Linked DNA regions of Arabidopsis thaliana. The protein of the gene in region 2 purifies or fractionates together with the protein of the main gene of each other region. This does not show direct contact. Each region holds a gene or a part of one and is shown on either strand. Other genes may lie near its edges.

Region 1 (9,593 bases), on a different chromosome or scaffold from region 2:
AAACCATTTAGATTAATGGGTTGGCATTGGTCACGCTGATCCAATGTTTCAAATGGGTAAGTGAATGTTGATTGCCGACGTGACTGAAGACCCAAGGCCCAACGACCTACTGGTCCAGGTTGACTATGAACAAAAGAACTAGATTTTTTTTTCCCCTACATTTTAAAGAAAATACTTGATGAAGATGTGGTGCCTTTTCATAAGATCTAAAAAGTTTCAAATCTTTACGATGGAACAAAAAGTGAAAGGTGAAGTAAGGGTCATTTGGGATTGAGAAGTTTCTTCGTCCAAAATCATTGCATGAGTTGAATAGATTTGGGATTAAAGCTGCCAATACAAGAGGATTCGGTAATGACTGAAGCAAAAGCCCAGCAGGGCCATTAGGCAAACACCAGTTTCCAAGACGGATTTGTGTAAGACCACTTATGACACAAGTTTGTCTTCACTATCATCATCTTCTTCTTCTACTTCTACTACTACTTTTGTAGCCTTGTCGTTTTTATCATTAACATGATTGACAAGACTATGACCTATATATCTTATTATTATCATTGCTCTCTCTATTTGTTTATATTGATTATTACTTTTTGAGATTTTTCAATGGTTTTATCTCTAACTAAACATTATAATTAGTGAAACAAGCTTAGTAGAAGTAAAAGTATTATTCTATGCTAAAGTACATTGATTAGTAGAGTGTGTAATTGTGTATACAGATAATCTATAAACAATTGGTGCATCTGTATATAAAACTTTATGATTTATTTATTGTATTTAATAAGTATATGAATTGGGTACCTAACTTTCTAAACAGTTCCAAATTTATTCTTAAATCAAATTGCATATGATTTTTAAATATTTTGAGACGATTTTATTATAACGCAAACAACAGAGTAAAAGAAGCATATGTTGCAAATTGTACTATGGCAAGTTCAAATCGAAACATTTTTGTGAAAATCAAACATGTGAACCAAGCTTCTACAGTTTAATTCCCTTTCGTATAATTTAATTTCAACAAATTTATTGATATCCATCTAGAAATTGGTCCAAAGTTCTTTCACCCTTGAGTCATTTAGTGATAAAGATGACATGATTTTTGGTGATAAATTTTCCATCGTTGCTATATGTCGTTATATTATTCTCCTATATGTATATTATACTATTTACATCAGAAAATAATCCAAAGTTTAGAGATTCTTTTTTACAATAATAAAATTTCCCACTTACTAAAAAGAGCTCCTTTTCTGCTGAAGAGAACCTAAACCTTTATTCCCAAAGTTCATTGAGTTAGAGCATTTTCAGCGAATCACATAAGAGATGCTCTCTTCTTCATCACTAATTGACATCTCATTGTTTTAAAGGTTGCACTTGTACCTGTTGATCTGATTCTCAATCCACTTAAGTTAAACCAAATAGACACGAGAAAAAAGCACATTTATTTGTTGCTAAGTATGCATATTTTTCAGCGTTTACTTCTTAATCTAATGTATATCATAAGATAATATCTAAAAGAGAATGCACAAAAGATTATTAATATGAGAAATTCGCTGCCATTTAGGAAGGACCTTTATACCAATATACCGCAATAATAATAGAACATTGGTCCCCAAGTGTATGTCAACCCCAAGTGTATAGATTTCTTTAAAGATTAAAATCCCTTTTTGTTGCTAAAGCACCTGATATATTTTTCTATCAAACTAAAAAAATTGTTAGCGGGATGAAGATATATTCGCCAAGAACCATAGTGCTTGTATAACGGCAGACCATTAATTCACAACTATTATTATTTTATTGTTAGATTGTTGATAGAATCGATTTTGATTGTGGCAGAATCGATCTTGTAAAAACTGCTTTAAGGTGCTTACTTATAATTAAGAAAGATTCACTTATGTAAGTTAAGCATATTAATCATATCATTCGGCCTAATTCATTAGGAATATTTTGCTATTCGTTTTGCCATCATTAACAACAAAATTGACACGTTTTCAGCCAAAAGTATTAACAACTAAACCTAAAACTTCAAACATTAAATAGTTTTTAGTATCTTTAGTTTCAAACTAGTGATTTGTCCTAATATCAACACTACGAACGAATTTATATACATTGAACTTTTTTCTGAATCACCGATTACAAAACGAATATAATTTGGTATCGGCAGTTGCTATTAATTTGATCGGTTTGGACTTTGGACTAATCACGATCAAATCTTAAATGGACCGAAGTGAATAAATCCCTAATGTTTTCAAGAGAGTCACACGAACGAAACAAAGGTAAAATATGAACATAGAGCGTGGGGACCTTGAAGCAGAAGGTCTGTATGGTGACAGACCGGTGAGTGGAGTGTATGAATGAACGAGAAGTGAGAAGACAAAATACAAGAAAGAGCGTTGACTTGGAAGTTAAAGCCAAAAAAACCACAAGGGGCAAATTTGTCTCTTTAGGAAAAGGACACAGACAGACTTTCTATACGGGCCAATTAGAAAAATAGGCCCTACTTCTAATTAAAGCCCATTTACTTCTCTCCTTGTCTTCTTATTCCTCTTTTCTCCCCATCACGTGACGACGATGCTATAAACGCCGTCGGATTATATAACTGGTGCCGTTGACAAGACGGCGACAGAAGAAAGAAAGAAGAAACCACAGGCTCTAGGGAACGTAACGTTATGTCCTGTCTATAGCATTTATAACGGTCAGATCAACGCCGTTTAGATAAAGATCTGTCAATGTTAAAGAAGAGATGCATCTCTACACCGTTAAATTTAAAACGCCGTGAACCTCTTATCTATTGATTTTTGTTTGATGAAGCCAAAACAAATCGTGTCAGAAGACTTATCAGAGAAGAAGAAAACGACGACGTTCCCGTTTCTCCATGTCTAATAAGTGTAGTAGTGGCGGCTACTAAAAACTCTAAAGTTTGACTCCAGTAAAACTGCCTTTCTAGTGTAATTCCAGTGATTTTAGAGTTTGAATAGTGTGTGACCAAATTTGAAAGTACAATCTCAGCAATATTATTGATCACTCGTTATAAAAGAATCGAATGTAAAAATAGCCAATGAGAGACTGAGACGTATGTGTTTGACCATAAGTCGTATAGTTTGTATCTATCTACCTGCAAGATCAGCAGATGGTTCTCTGATCAATTGTACCTTAATTATCTTTTATTTTCGTAAAATTTCTCTATTCACAAATGATAAATCTACTTAAGACAGTAACCATAACAAGATTTACAAGATAATTTGAAAAATGAACACATAAAAGTATTTTGGCGCATTATTTTTAATAATAACAATATTTATGTAAAGTCACATAAAAGTATATATTCGCTCACAAAGTCTTACGGTATTTAGAACAGTAGTACCACATCGATTCTCTTCATCTTCTTCTTCATAATATGCCATTGTTCATGTCTCTGTGTCCTATCGCATAACACTCACGCTATCTTATTATTTTCTCTCGCTCTTTCTCACTGAGAGGACACTAAAAAAATGGCGATGAGACTTTTGAAGACTCATCTTCTGTTTCTGCATCTGTATCTATTTTTCTCACCATGTTTCGCTTACACTGACATGGAAGTTCTTCTCAATCTCAAATCCTCCATGATTGGTCCTAAAGGACACGGTCTCCACGACTGGATTCACTCATCTTCTCCGGATGCTCACTGTTCTTTCTCCGGCGTCTCATGTGACGACGATGCTCGTGTTATCTCTCTCAACGTCTCCTTCACTCCTTTGTTTGGTACAATCTCACCAGAGATTGGGATGTTGACTCATTTGGTGAATCTAACTTTAGCTGCCAACAACTTCACCGGTGAATTACCATTGGAGATGAAGAGTCTAACTTCTCTCAAGGTTTTGAATATCTCCAACAATGGTAACCTTACTGGAACATTCCCTGGAGAGATTTTAAAAGCTATGGTTGATCTTGAAGTTCTTGACACTTATAACAACAATTTCAACGGTAAGTTACCACCGGAGATGTCAGAGCTTAAGAAGCTTAAATACCTCTCTTTCGGTGGAAATTTCTTCAGCGGAGAGATTCCAGAGAGTTATGGAGATATTCAAAGCTTAGAGTATCTTGGTCTCAACGGAGCTGGACTCTCCGGTAAATCTCCGGCGTTTCTTTCCCGCCTCAAGAACTTAAGAGAAATGTATATTGGCTACTACAACAGCTACACCGGTGGTGTTCCACCGGAGTTCGGTGGTTTAACAAAGCTTGAGATCCTCGACATGGCGAGCTGTACACTCACCGGAGAGATTCCGACGAGTTTAAGTAACCTGAAACATCTACATACTCTGTTTCTTCACATCAACAACTTAACCGGTCATATACCACCGGAGCTTTCCGGTTTAGTCAGCTTGAAATCTCTCGATTTATCAATCAATCAGTTAACCGGAGAAATCCCTCAAAGCTTCATCAATCTCGGAAACATTACTCTAATCAATCTCTTCAGAAACAATCTCTACGGACAAATACCAGAGGCCATCGGAGAATTACCAAAACTCGAAGTCTTCGAAGTATGGGAGAACAATTTCACGTTACAATTACCGGCGAATCTTGGCCGGAACGGGAATCTAATAAAGCTTGATGTCTCTGATAATCATCTCACCGGACTTATCCCCAAGGACTTATGCAGAGGTGAGAAATTAGAGATGTTAATTCTCTCTAACAACTTCTTCTTTGGTCCAATTCCAGAAGAGCTTGGTAAATGCAAATCCTTAACCAAAATCAGAATCGTTAAGAATCTTCTCAACGGCACTGTTCCGGCGGGGCTTTTCAATCTACCGTTAGTTACGATTATCGAACTCACTGATAATTTCTTCTCCGGTGAACTTCCGGTAACGATGTCCGGCGATGTTCTCGATCAGATTTACCTCTCTAACAACTGGTTTTCCGGCGAGATTCCACCTGCGATTGGTAATTTCCCCAATCTACAGACTCTATTCTTAGATCGGAACCGATTTCGCGGCAACATTCCGAGAGAAATCTTCGAATTGAAGCATTTATCGAGGATCAACACAAGTGCGAACAACATCACCGGCGGTATTCCAGATTCAATCTCTCGCTGCTCAACTTTAATCTCCGTCGATCTCAGCCGTAACCGAATCAACGGAGAAATCCCTAAAGGGATCAACAACGTGAAAAACTTAGGAACTCTAAATATCTCCGGTAATCAATTAACCGGTTCAATCCCTACCGGAATCGGAAACATGACGAGTTTAACAACTCTCGATCTCTCTTTCAACGATCTCTCCGGTAGAGTACCACTCGGTGGTCAATTCTTGGTGTTCAACGAAACTTCCTTCGCCGGAAACACTTACCTCTGTCTCCCTCACCGTGTCTCTTGTCCAACACGGCCAGGACAAACCTCCGATCACAATCACACGGCGTTGTTCTCACCGTCAAGGATCGTAATCACGGTTATCGCAGCGATCACCGGTTTGATCCTAATCAGTGTAGCGATTCGTCAGATGAATAAGAAGAAGAACCAGAAATCTCTCGCCTGGAAACTAACCGCCTTCCAGAAACTAGATTTCAAATCTGAAGACGTTCTCGAGTGTCTTAAAGAAGAGAACATAATCGGTAAAGGCGGAGCTGGAATTGTCTACCGTGGATCAATGCCAAACAACGTAGACGTCGCGATTAAACGACTCGTTGGCCGTGGGACCGGGAGGAGCGATCATGGATTCACGGCGGAGATTCAAACTTTGGGGAGAATCCGCCACCGTCACATAGTGAGACTTCTTGGTTACGTAGCGAACAAGGATACGAATCTCCTTCTTTATGAGTACATGCCTAATGGAAGCCTTGGAGAGCTTTTGCATGGATCTAAAGGTGGTCATCTTCAATGGGAGACGAGACATAGAGTAGCCGTGGAAGCTGCAAAGGGCTTGTGTTATCTTCACCATGATTGTTCACCATTGATCTTGCATAGAGATGTTAAGTCCAATAACATTCTTTTGGACTCTGATTTTGAAGCCCATGTTGCTGATTTTGGGCTTGCTAAGTTCTTAGTTGATGGTGCTGCTTCTGAGTGTATGTCTTCAATTGCTGGCTCTTATGGATACATCGCCCCAGGTTAGTTACATGTCAACAACATTAGTACTCACCAAAATGATATATGTTCTGATTATCATTTTGTTTTTGGTTTGCATAGAGTATGCATATACCTTGAAAGTGGACGAGAAGAGTGATGTGTATAGTTTCGGAGTGGTTTTGTTGGAGTTAATAGCTGGGAAGAAACCTGTTGGTGAATTTGGAGAAGGAGTGGATATAGTTAGGTGGGTGAGGAACACGGAAGAGGAGATAACTCAGCCATCGGATGCTGCTATTGTTGTTGCGATTGTTGACCCGAGGTTGACTGGTTACCCGTTGACAAGTGTGATTCATGTGTTCAAGATCGCAATGATGTGTGTGGAGGAAGAAGCCGCGGCAAGGCCTACGATGAGGGAAGTTGTGCACATGCTCACTAACCCTCCTAAATCCGTGGCGAACTTGATCGCGTTCTGACCCAAGCAAGATAAATATGAAAATAAGATGCGAAATGTGGTGATCATTTTTTGGGTGTTCTTATTTATGGTTTCTAATACTTTCGGGTTTGTATATTTGTTGTGTTTCAATTTGTATATTACCTCTTTATGTGTTATTATCTCGAGTATGTAATGTAATCAATATGCTTATTGCTTGATGGCTTTAAACTTTAGCTAATTCTCCGTTCAGAGTGTATAAAATAAAAGAATGTGAGAGCTTTGACCTCTGGATTTAAGTCTAGACTGTTTAGAATATGTGAATTAGGGTCATATCTAAATTCAGGTTTGTGTTAGCTTCCGACAGTGTCATGTTGCAATCTTGACCTTACTTACAAAGTATTTACCAGCAGATGGCTCGGAAAATAAAAAGGAAACACATCTGATAAAAAAAAACACGGAATCAACAGACTAATGGTTGATTAAGAGATTGGACTCGTACTCTGCATTTGGAATAATGACCAGTTTCATTGAGTTCTTGGGGGTCATTCACTTCTCATATTTTTACGAGCTAAGAAAATCACCTCAGGGTCATAACATTGTAGTTTCTGCTCTTGAAGCAAAACACACATAAACTAAGAAACCGGAAAAATTCACAGAAATCAACAACCAAGAAGCTTTAAAAGTTCATGAACAACAGAATTCAACCTCTATAATGTGCATTTTCCCACAAGATGAGGATGATGCTGTGAAGCTAATTCTATCCATAACTCTTACCTCCATTCATAGAGCAATTCAGAGAAGAAGACAAGGCACATAGTCACAACTTATAAACGGGTGTGAGAAGAAGACAAGGCAAATTAGTCACAAATTCATTAAGGTAGAGAAACAAGATCCTTCATTACTCTGTTTTAGTCTCTTCATTAAGAATCATATACAATTTAAATCACAAAACTTTCAAGGCCACAATCTTGATTAACTTGGAAAGACCTGAGTTTCATTCAGATTTAAACAACACTGCAGCTCTCAAAATTCAAAATCGATTGTATAAAGAAAACAAGAACATCTATCATCATCATAATCACTATCCGATTTTACAACATATCAATACAAACAAAAACCTCCCAGCTTACACGAAGAAGAACATCATTACCTTATTCCTTAACTCCGAACACATGTTATTTAGATTACTCTGTTTTAGTCTCTTCATTAAGAATCCCCCAAAATTCTCAATGCCACAATCCTCATTCAGTGGTAAGACTCGAGTATCAACATTCAAATTTGGATAACAGTGCAGCTCTTAAATTCAAAATCCATTTTTACTTTTAAAAACAAGAACATCATATCTATAATCATCACAATCACTATCCGATTTTACAACATATCAATACAAACAAAAACCTTCCAACTTACAAGAAGAAGAACACCATTACCTTATTCCTCATCATCATCTATTACACAGAAAATCTATGAGAAACGTATATATCTAACACATGTTATCTACTTCACAAAAGTCAAAATAAAGAGGGAAAATTCGAAGTTTATATACTCAGAAAGCACCGTAAGGTATATGTTGTGGAAGCCTAAATCGAACCTGTGAAGCCGGAGACCGAACCGCAACGCCGTGCCAGCAAATCCCTCCTTTACAAATCGCACCACCGTCGTGATGGTGACGGTGGTGGCTAAGATCTTCCTCACCACCAACACGATTGTACCGAGAAACCGCCTCCGCTGCTCTACGAGACACATCCCAAGCAAGCGTAACTGCAAGCAAAACACCAACTGCCGTAATCGAAACGACGACGACGAATCCAGCGCTGAAACTCCTCCCGGTGATTAATCCGTAGGCTTTAATCGCGATAATCACCGCCACGTAGATCGTCGCGAGATTCCCGAGAACCGCGTCGGATAACGCCATGAGACACATCTAGGACTTTACTTCTTCTTCACCGTCGCCGTGAAATTCGTTGCGGTGGAGGAAGCTTTTTAACAGAAAAAGTGGAGAAAAGCGAAATTGTGGTGGATGTTGAAATACTCAAAAAGACGTCATCCTTGTCAACGAAGGGAAGGATATTTTGAAATTACTAAAACACCCTTGACAAGATCTTTTGCTTCCTCTCTATGGCTCATCACTAATGCGAGAAGAGTTTGGTAAAAGTACCCTTCCCGTAAAACGTCACCGTTTCGGGATTTGGTCAGACTTGCCACGCACTACATTTATGGGTGTATGACATTCTCACGCATGTCGTTGTCAAGGTCCTCAAAGTCCTCAAGAGGCTCTATTTATGTCTGTGGTCAAAATTTGATCGTCGTACTCAAAAATAAATGCTCTTTGGACTTAGTAATTGTTTCTAACGGGCCTCTAAAATCAGTAATGGGCTCCAGTATTAGACCCATCTTGGTATTAACTATTAAGAGTTCTTCTAATTTGAATAGTGGTGTGTTTCCTATGAGATATTATGGCATGTCTTCATCATATTCCATGATGGCTTTAATCTTATGATATTTTTTTGGCAAATCATATGCAGTGAAACAGACACTTGGTTTATATTTATAGGTTTACTCCCACTGTAAATCAAAGGCATCGTCATCAACTCACACTTAATTAAGATTATCTCTTTAATCTTTTTTCAGCTAGTGGTATCACTATTACTGTGTAGGTCCATTTAACTTTTGAAACTTATAATAGAGAATTTCTTATGGCTCTCATATGCGGCTTGTAAAGTCAAATTATTATTAAATACAGTAGTTGGGACAAGACCATGAAATGAATATTAGTATTATTCATTTCAATGTTCCGAATGGCCAACGCAGCATCAGCAGATAACAATTAAATGAAATATTCCCACCAATAGTTTCCAATATATAGCTTTAAACTAAATAGATTACTGCTTTATATAGTGTACATAATATTCTTCTAATCCTAGTTACATTATAAATCAAATAAATATTCTGACCTTACAATTAAACATTCCCATCTTTTATGAACTCCACCAGCAGCCCACTTTCTTGCCCACGTGTTCCTCACCCAAATTAAGAATTCTCCCATGAACATGAATGAAGGATATTTTCGTAACTGTAGGGTGTTGTTAACTTTTTTTCTCAACTCTGACCCAATCCGACGTCGTTCGG
Region 2 (8,666 bases):
ATTTACTACATAGTTCAGAAGGTGAAGGATTCTGAGCTTGGTAAACTCTTGGGTGATGATTGGGTTAGAAAACGAAGAGGGCAGATACGTCAATATGCTACCGGTTACCTCAGGGCTTCCTGGAGCAGGGTGCTATCTGCTTTGAGGGACGAAAGTATGGGTGGAAGTTCAAGTGGTAGTCCGAGTTATGGACAAAGAAGCAACAATTCTTCCAAGATGGCGTTAAAAGAGAGATTCAGAGGTTTTAATGCCAGCTTTGAAGAGTTATACAGGCTGCAAACGGCTTGGAAGGTCCCGGATCCTCAACTTCGTGAAGAACTGAGAATATCTATATCAGAGAAAGTAATCCCGGCTTACCGGGCTTTCTTCGGAAGGAATAGGAGTCAACTAGAAGGTGGTAGGCATGCTGGAAAGTACATAAAGTACACACCAGATGACCTGGAGAGTTACTTACCAGACCTATTTGAAGGAAATCAATTGGTTATTCACCACCCGAGAAGGAAAAGTTAAGGCTCTTGCTAGAAGATGATGACGATTGACGAGGACTCTCTTGCTTGAAGGACAATCTTGTCTGTTTGAAAGATGATAGTGGCCAGGTAACATATAAGTCAGGGGTTTAAGTTATATATGTGAAAGTCGGGCTTACACCCTTTTTATACACTGTCAAAATTCTTATGTACATGTCTTAATACTTATCATGTTATGACCATGGGTTTTATATAATGATTATGCTCTTGAATCAAATGGTCTTTGCTATATATATGGAGCTGGATGATATTACTTTCTTGTTGTAACGTATCTCTGTACTTAGATTTGATAGTAAAAGTGTGTTTGTTGCATAGAAATGATAAGTTAAGAAAATTTCAGTTTATAATAGTGGGTGATTCCGCATTTTCCAAATCACAGATATAATCTGTTTCCAAGACTTCGGCCAAAAATCCAGTATGTATATACCCAAAGAAAACACAGGTTGAGCCACATTGGAGAGCAAATCTCATAAAAACATACATGTCACTTAGACCAGTGTGTTATTTTATTGGCACCAAAAAAAATGTTCTTGGTTTCAAGTTTTGTGTTCGAGTAGCTACAAAATACAAATCCAAGTTTCTTGGACAAGTACGACCATGGAAACTATTCATATCCACATACTTTGACATAGACTATGATAACAGAGTATGCATCTGCTACCTTTAACATTCCATCCCAAGCATTGTCGCTCGCTTCCAAGATTAACTTTAAAACGTGGAGCATCCTTCTTCTTGGGCTTGGAATCAGGTTGTGGCTCTCCCTAAGGAAATCATAGAAGATTTGGACAAAAAATTGATCAATTCAAAATTTAGATTTTCTTTAGAAAACAAGAAACATGCGTTTTATAATATTGTGGGTTACAAAAATAGTTTCAACATTTTATAAAGTGGTTAATGCGTTTAAACTGTGTTAAGCTGATGTTGTTTAATGTTTAGACTGCTTGATGTTTTAAAATTTGATCTCTAGAGATTTTTACATTCACGTTGAATTCGAAAAGAAGTAATTAATCTTGACGAAAAAGAAGGGGTTACACAAGTCTGAAGTTGTCCATCCTGATTCTCAAAGCAAAGGTATGATGATCTTCATGAGTCCTTGCGTTACATTGCACAATCTTCTATTTTGTTTTGTTTTGTTTTGTACTCATTTGCTTTTTTATTGCTACGTGTTTTTGTCTCTCTCCCTATGAATTTATATGTCTCTTTGCATGGATGGTTTTTTGCCTTAATGGCTTAATCGGAGTTTGGATTTCTCAATTTTCTTGGTCCATACTCTTCTCCTTCGTGTTGATATATGAGTTAGTGTGATTTAGTCTGGATTCAGGGAAGTATTTTTCTTGTTCTGTGAATAGCATATACTTGGGTTAGAAGAAACGAGGTCAGTCATGCATTAATTGATGGTATAAAGCATTAGTGGCAGTACTATTTTGATGATACAATAATGGCAACTTAACACTCTTGAAATATTTTTGGGTTGTTTCATTTTCTGATCTTGTGGCAGTAATGTTTTGTTATTCTTTCCAGATTTTATTCAAGAAACTACAATAAACCTGAGTTAGTATCAGTATGATTCTGATTCAGTGTTTTATGTTTTTTATATTTAAAAGTTGAAGGATGCTCCTATAATAGAATTGTTGTTGTATCTTGAAACAGGGTTATCTTATGTGAATGAGACTTAGATCTTATATTAAATCATTTTTAAACTCTTACACTCCAAAGACTCATTACAAACCACATTAAAACTATGACATATATGAACAAGTAAACTCTTACGGTTAGTAGTCGTATCTCCTTAATATTCTCAGATGCAAAGATTACAAAAACGGAGAGCAGTCTTGTTCTATCTCCCACTACTAACCGGTCTACGGACAAAGAACTGAGAACGTGTACTTGTTCAAGGAATCATGGATGGTCACAGGACCAGGTAATGTTGATCTTGGACCAGAGATTAGTGTTCTGATTGTGGTTGCAGTTATGCACTGCAACAGTCGTCCCATATAAGTTAGTGACTACAACAATGGAACAAATGCTACGGGGGAGGTTGCAGAAGTAAAGTAAGCCCTTAGCTACTTCATGTGATGAGACTTTACCATTTAATATCAAGTTTTGGTTCTTTCAATGGTGTTATGGTCTTTCTTGTTTTAATGAACTTAAGAGGACGAACCAATATATCGAGTCCACAACAAAAAACGAAGTTCCATTCTGTTCTATAAAGGATAACTTGAAAGGTTACATTGGGAAAGTTCATCAAGAGAAACTGAAAACCAAAAACAACTAACAAACAAATCAGCAGTTGGAGAAGAAAAGCCTTAGAAACATGCCCTGCATTAACTGCTTCCCAATTCCGTAAAGTGTTAATGGAAATTCCTTTGCAGGTTTCTCTCTCAGTCCCATGTCAATTCCCTGAATTGGTGGAAGTAACCGATCTTTCAATCTTCAATTGGAGAACCATGGTAATCCAGACTGAAGGCAGTTTTGTCCCTCCGGTAAGGGAACTATAGGTCCCAAGAAGAGACGCCATAGATCAAGAATGATTGTTACCAACATAGCAGCACCCAAAGCATCAACAGCCACTCGAGATAAATCCCATTCATCAGTTGATTTCTCATCCATCCTGCAAACAATGAATAAAACATATGAAAACAGATAGACAACAACTCGAGGTAATCAAATAGCAATAAGAAGGTGAGACGGAAGCATATCACAGAGACTGTTCAAAGAACTCCTCAAGACACTTGAGAAAGACCTGGTTCTCCATTTAAGTCTTTAATTCCTATATTTTAAGACTCTCAAGAAAATTCAATCAATTAATCCGGTGTATCTAACAACTATCACTTGTCTCAGTTTTGATATGCAACAGTCATGAAGGTGAAAAGATTCACTGCTTCTATGAGATGATAGAAAACTATGCTTTCTTTACCTGAAGAACATTGGGAAGCTCACAATGAAGTAAATGGCATAGAAAAGACATCCAACTCTGTACATGGCACTTCGGTCCACAAACTCATAGTAAGGAAACTGCACAAGTTTGAAAACAAAAACAGAACATATGAGCGGTTATTGTCAAGTGACTAGTTTCTAAACAAGATTCTAGAATGATTAAGTAGATAAACGTAGTCTTTAAGCAGACTATAAGAGGAATTTGTGATATATGATAAAACACCAAGTAGAGAGCTCTTTTTATAGGAAATTATCAAAGAAATGTAGACATCACAACGTACATTTGCGATAGCAATAGTCTCCAAGTATGCAATGAAATAAGAAAGCGCAAGTATCCATGCAGCCTCAAAACACCATTTCAGAGAATCTGGTAAATCAGCAGTGGAATGGCGTAGCCTCCGAAGAGTAATGTTCGATGCAACGTGGTAAAAGAGGAAGCAAACATGTGTTAGGAAGAATGTTGTGTGAGGCACCTGTTCAACACAAAACCCCTGCCATAAGCTCATGGAAACAAGAAAACTACTCAATAGAACAAATCTGCCGAGATAATGCTGTGCTTACATTATTCATTTTCCATGATGGAAAAGTATAGGACGCTCCAAGAACTTTAAAGAAATAGTGAGTCCAAAAGTAGTTTCCGACATAGCTGAAAACAATTATCCAGAGATTTGCCTGTGGTAAAAACATGTTCCAATCAGTACAACTATGGATGAGATCTTGAGAACTCTCACCAGTACTCAAGGAAGTTAAAACAAGTTCTAAAAATAGTTTGAAACTAGAACTGGCAAGCCAAAATGTCATGCACATAGAAAAAAAGCTTGCCTTAACCCAATAGCGGTCCTTCCAACATAAACTTCTGTCGGCCTGAAAGAATAATGCATATATTCTGAGTCCATATGGTAAGGAAAACAATAGAGATTTGCATTCAATTGGAAGCAAGTAGCTAGTAGACAAACAAGTATAGCACCACGAACACGTTAGCTCACAGTGAAAGCAAAAGTTGTCAAAAAGTAACCTTTCCAACGAGTAACATGGGTATAACGAAAGCAGGAACAGCTGAAACCAAAGCTAGAAGCAGATACTCCAACTCCGTGAATGTCTGCTAGTTTGCAAAGTAACTAACACTTATTAGTACTTCTTCAATACCACTTAAAAGACAACTTCATACAACAGTAAAATTTTCAGATCTCTAAAACACTGACATGGTAAACAATGAGACATCATTTCATAAACTTTGTTGATCTAATTTAGCAGATAAAAAAAAGTGAATAGCTACTTCAACTCTGTCTCATCGTCTCCTAAATACATCAGACACTTAAAAACAATGCTCATTTGATGATCGCATAGACCTCGTAAAGCTTGTAAGGAACAACGATGCCTAAACAGAGAGTGAGCCAAAAAGGAGTGTAGAAGAGGAAGAAGAGCTCTCCCCATCTCTTGCTCGGATTCGGTGCCAGCCACAAGCTCGGTGAAGAAGATCCTATCAAATGTAAATCAAAAAAATCAGGGAATGGGGACGAGAGATTCGAATCAGAAGAAGAAGAAGAGATCGGCGATAGTTTTACCTGACATAATCGCTCCGCCGGAGAATCTTAGAAACGTTGACTTGAGTAGTGTGAGTGAGTGAGCCGAGATTTTGTGTACGGGCGACCAAATAGATCCCAATCAAGCTGACGTGGCAGATGTACTCAGTGATGATGATTTTGACGAAAGCTAGATCCGCTCGCTCATCGTTCCTATTATTTTACCGTTTATTATGACATCACCTCTTTTTTCTACTTCTTTGTTGCTAAATTGTTATATTTGTTGTTCCCTTTTCCCAACATAAGAAGTGGGCCTATGTTAATTTAATTCTAAAATAATATGTAATCTAATTTTATTTTTTATTGTTAAATTTGATTTTAAAAAAATGTATATAGCAAATTGAAACTTTTGAGGTAAAGAGTTTATTTATATTTTTAGAATTTTCAAAAAGCAGATGTATGTGATCGTAAAAACGTTTACAATATATGTAAAGTTGGAAAAAAAAAAGCTTATATTATGTACTATTTTGAATTTTATAGTATTATTTTGCATTTTTTGGAAAACTCTTTTATTAATGTTAAGAATTTAGAAAAATACAAAAACTTATTAATAAATAAATATACAAAAATTATCAAGAAAGAAACTAATGATGTAGTATTCATTCATATCTTTAATAACCAAACATTGATGGAGTTTGGCTTTCAAAAAAAAAAAAGAAAAATGTGGGTTTTCAAGAGTTTAATTGTCTTATTGACGAAAAGTGAATGTGGTCTAGTGGTATACTGATATTCATAAGTCTACCATAAACTAGCAAAATCTTCAACCTCAGTACTTAATATCAAATTAAGTTTCTTAACACTAGTGTTAATTGGACAAATGACCGGTCCATCGTGCCTTAAAACCGAAAAAATGTGTTAGACTCTACTTATTCTATGTTTTCTAGTCCGCTTTTTTTGGTTCACTTGACCTAAAACATAATGGTTTGTTGGAAGTATTATATGATATTTGATTTTATGTAATTATGAAAAATGTGCGATATTAGATGTGTAAGAAGAAAGACTCGTTTTCAGAGTTGGGTGTGTCACCAACCCCAGGCAGGTTGTTGTTGTTCGAAGGGCAGGCCTTTGTAGTTGTTGGCACAGTTAAGGGTAAAATCGTAAAACGGTGAAAGAAAACATTGGAAGCATCGAATCCAATACACGCACTTCAAAAAGAGAACACAACTCCACCGGACCAAATCTAATTCTCTTGTAAGAGACGACGACGACGAACATGGCAACGAGCAGTGCGGCTTCTGTTGATATGGAAGATATTCAGACTGTTGATCTCATGTCTGAGCTTCTTCGCCGTATGAAATGTGCCTCTAAACCTGACAAACGTCTCGTTTTCATCGGTACAATCATCTCTTTCGTTACCTCTGAATCTTTCACTCAATCGGTACTTTAGGTTTGATCTCTGTGAAAATTGTGTAGCGAAAGTTCCGATTTTTATCTGTTTTAGTGTGTAAAAATTGCATTTTGCTGTTATCGTTAATGCTTTATCTGATGATCATAGCGAAGGGATTGTGAATTTGTGTTTTTTGGTTCAATAGAAAGGAAGAATTGAGTTTTGGTTCATGTATGATTTGGAATTTGCAGGTCCACCTGGTTCAGGGAAAGGTACACAGTCTCCGGTCATAAAGGATGAGTTTTGTTTGTGTCATTTGTCTACTGGTGACATGCTTAGAGCTGCTGTTGCTGCTAAGACTCCTCTTGGTGTGAAGGCAAAGGAAGCAATGGATAAGGGAGAGCTTGTTTCTGATGACTTGGTTGTTGGTATCATGGATGAAGCAATGAACAGACCCAAATGTCAGAAAGGTTTCATTCTTGATGGGTTCCCGCGGACTGTGACTCAAGCAGAGAAGGTTTCTGGTTCTTTTCTGTGGTTAGTTGTTTGTGTATCTGCTCGCTCTTGTAAATGTTCTGACTTTTTTTGTTTATAAATCTTGTAGCTTGATGAGATGCTTAATAGAAGGGGAGCTCAGATAGATAAGGTGCTTAATTTTGCGATCGATGATTCGGTTCTCGAAGAAAGAATTACTGGAAGGTGGATTCACCCTTCAAGTGGAAGAAGCTATCATACTAAATTCGCACCTCCTAAAGTTCCAGGAGTCGATGATGTAAGAAAAACCATCAAATTCTGATTCATCATTTTGACTTAGTAAATCGAGTTCTCTCTTGTGATTTGATCTCTGTATCAACTTCGTTGTTTGTTAGCTGACTGGAGAGCCATTGATTCAACGTAAAGATGACAATGCGGATGTTCTTAGATCAAGGCTAGATGCATTCCACAAGCAGACGCAACCGGTATGTTTCCTTATAGTACATGAACTTGAGGACTATCAGAGAATTTGACATTTGTTCTTGTTGTTGTTGTTGCAGGTAATTGACTATTATGCGAAGAAGGAGAATCTGGTGAACATACCGGCAGAGAAGGCCCCGGAAGAGGTTACAAAAGTGGTGAAGAAGGTTGTGTCTACATGAAACTGAAAAACGAAATGGCATCAGTTTAAGATGTATCTTTTTTTGCTTATCTTAAATAACTCTCCTGAGTTTTTTTATTTGTTTCCCCCGGAATGTCTTTTGTCTTGAGAGCAACATTTGCTGCAGTTTTGTGCAGTGTGTTTCACTAAGGCTTATTGTTTGCGACTGGAAATGTCAGGTGAATAAAGGAAAAACAAAATCGTAGTAAAATAGTGGAAGATTGAAAACATTAGAATCGCATAACATTGAAAACAAAATGGTAGCTTATAAAGAATTGGTGATCAACTGTAAGAATTGGTAGAGCAGGAATCCAACAGATTCCAACGGAATTGTATATAGATCATCTCATCATCACAATGAGATAAGCGATATGAAACCATAGTTAGTGAAATTCAAGTTTTTCAGATTTATAGATTTATTTTGGATAACAAAAAAAGGAATAAAATACAAGTAATTCATATATTTGAATAAAGATATCATCATTACAATTTGAGCTTCAATGAACTTGGATGGTAAGATAAATTTTGAAAATGTTTGGGGTATAAAATGTTGAATTGTATTCTTATTATTTATTTAAATAATAGTTTTTGCCTATATTTTTTCAGTCAAATCTACTATATATTAAAAAGAATATTTTCGGGAAAATATCTTCAGTGTACCATACTTAGAACACATTCCATATTAGAAAATATTAAATCTTATTCTTTAGTTCTAAGATGATAAGATAAGATTTATGACAATGTTATAAAACTTAAACATAGTCAATAGTTCTAACAATTTGTAAAAGTATCTTGTAATGACGAAATCAAATTTTTTTACTGTGATAGCATTGTTTGTTCTCCTCTTTGTTGGTGTTCTTGAAGCCAACAAGAAGAGCCTCTTACATGAATCTGAAGATTTTCGACAGTCCGAAAGTTTGCTTAAAAAATCAGTTGATCCAATACGCGTCACAAGATGGCTCGTTCCCCCTTCAGGACCTAGTACCAAAGAATCACCGGGTACAAGATGGTTCGTTCCACCTTCAGGTCCTAGTACCAAAGAACCACTAGTTAGGAGATGGTTTGTTCCACCCTCAGGACCTAGTACCAAAGAACCACCGGTTGCACACAACGCAAATATGAATTTATGGTGACCATCACAACGTCTGGTTTTAGGA

Evidence for each region.
Region 1: the proteins of CPI1 (region 2) and CLV1 purify together in Arabidopsis thaliana (affinity purification with western blotting; one study listed by BioGRID). This does not show direct contact.

Annotation. Positions count from the first base shown.
Region 1 is NC_003070.9:28,460,542-28,470,134, reverse strand, and holds CLV1 (Leucine-rich receptor-like protein kinase family protein), read left to right. Parts: upstream 1-3,163; 5' UTR 3,164-3,482; coding exon 3,483-6,072; intron 6,073-6,151; coding exon 6,152-6,504; 3' UTR 6,505-6,791; downstream 6,792-9,593. Other genes in the region: AT1G75810 (uncharacterized protein), read right to left, coding at 8,011-8,388.
Region 2 is NC_003076.8:20,508,226-20,516,891, reverse strand, and holds CPI1 (cyclopropyl isomerase), read right to left. Parts: upstream 5,226-8,666; 5' UTR 5,037-5,225; coding exon 5,030-5,036; intron 4,945-5,029; coding exon 4,814-4,944; exon of another isoform or gene 4,564-4,813; coding exon 4,480-4,563; intron 4,329-4,479; coding exon 4,287-4,328; intron 4,137-4,286; coding exon 4,026-4,136; intron 3,938-4,025; coding exon 3,746-3,937; intron 3,543-3,745; coding exon 3,445-3,542; intron 3,139-3,444; coding exon 3,066-3,138; coding exon of another isoform or gene 2,961-3,065; exon of another isoform or gene 2,928-2,960; coding exon 2,811-2,927; 3' UTR 2,643-2,810; downstream 1-2,642. Other genes in the region: EXO70F1 (exocyst subunit exo70 family protein F1), read left to right, coding at 1-510; AT5G50370 (Adenylate kinase family protein), read left to right, coding at 6,261-6,381, 6,626-6,891, 6,979-7,146, 7,244-7,333, 7,409-7,510; AT5G50365 (uncharacterized protein), read right to left, coding at 8,116-8,121, 8,330-8,666. UniProt on the Arabidopsis thaliana protein: Converts pentacyclic cyclopropyl sterols to tetracyclic sterols.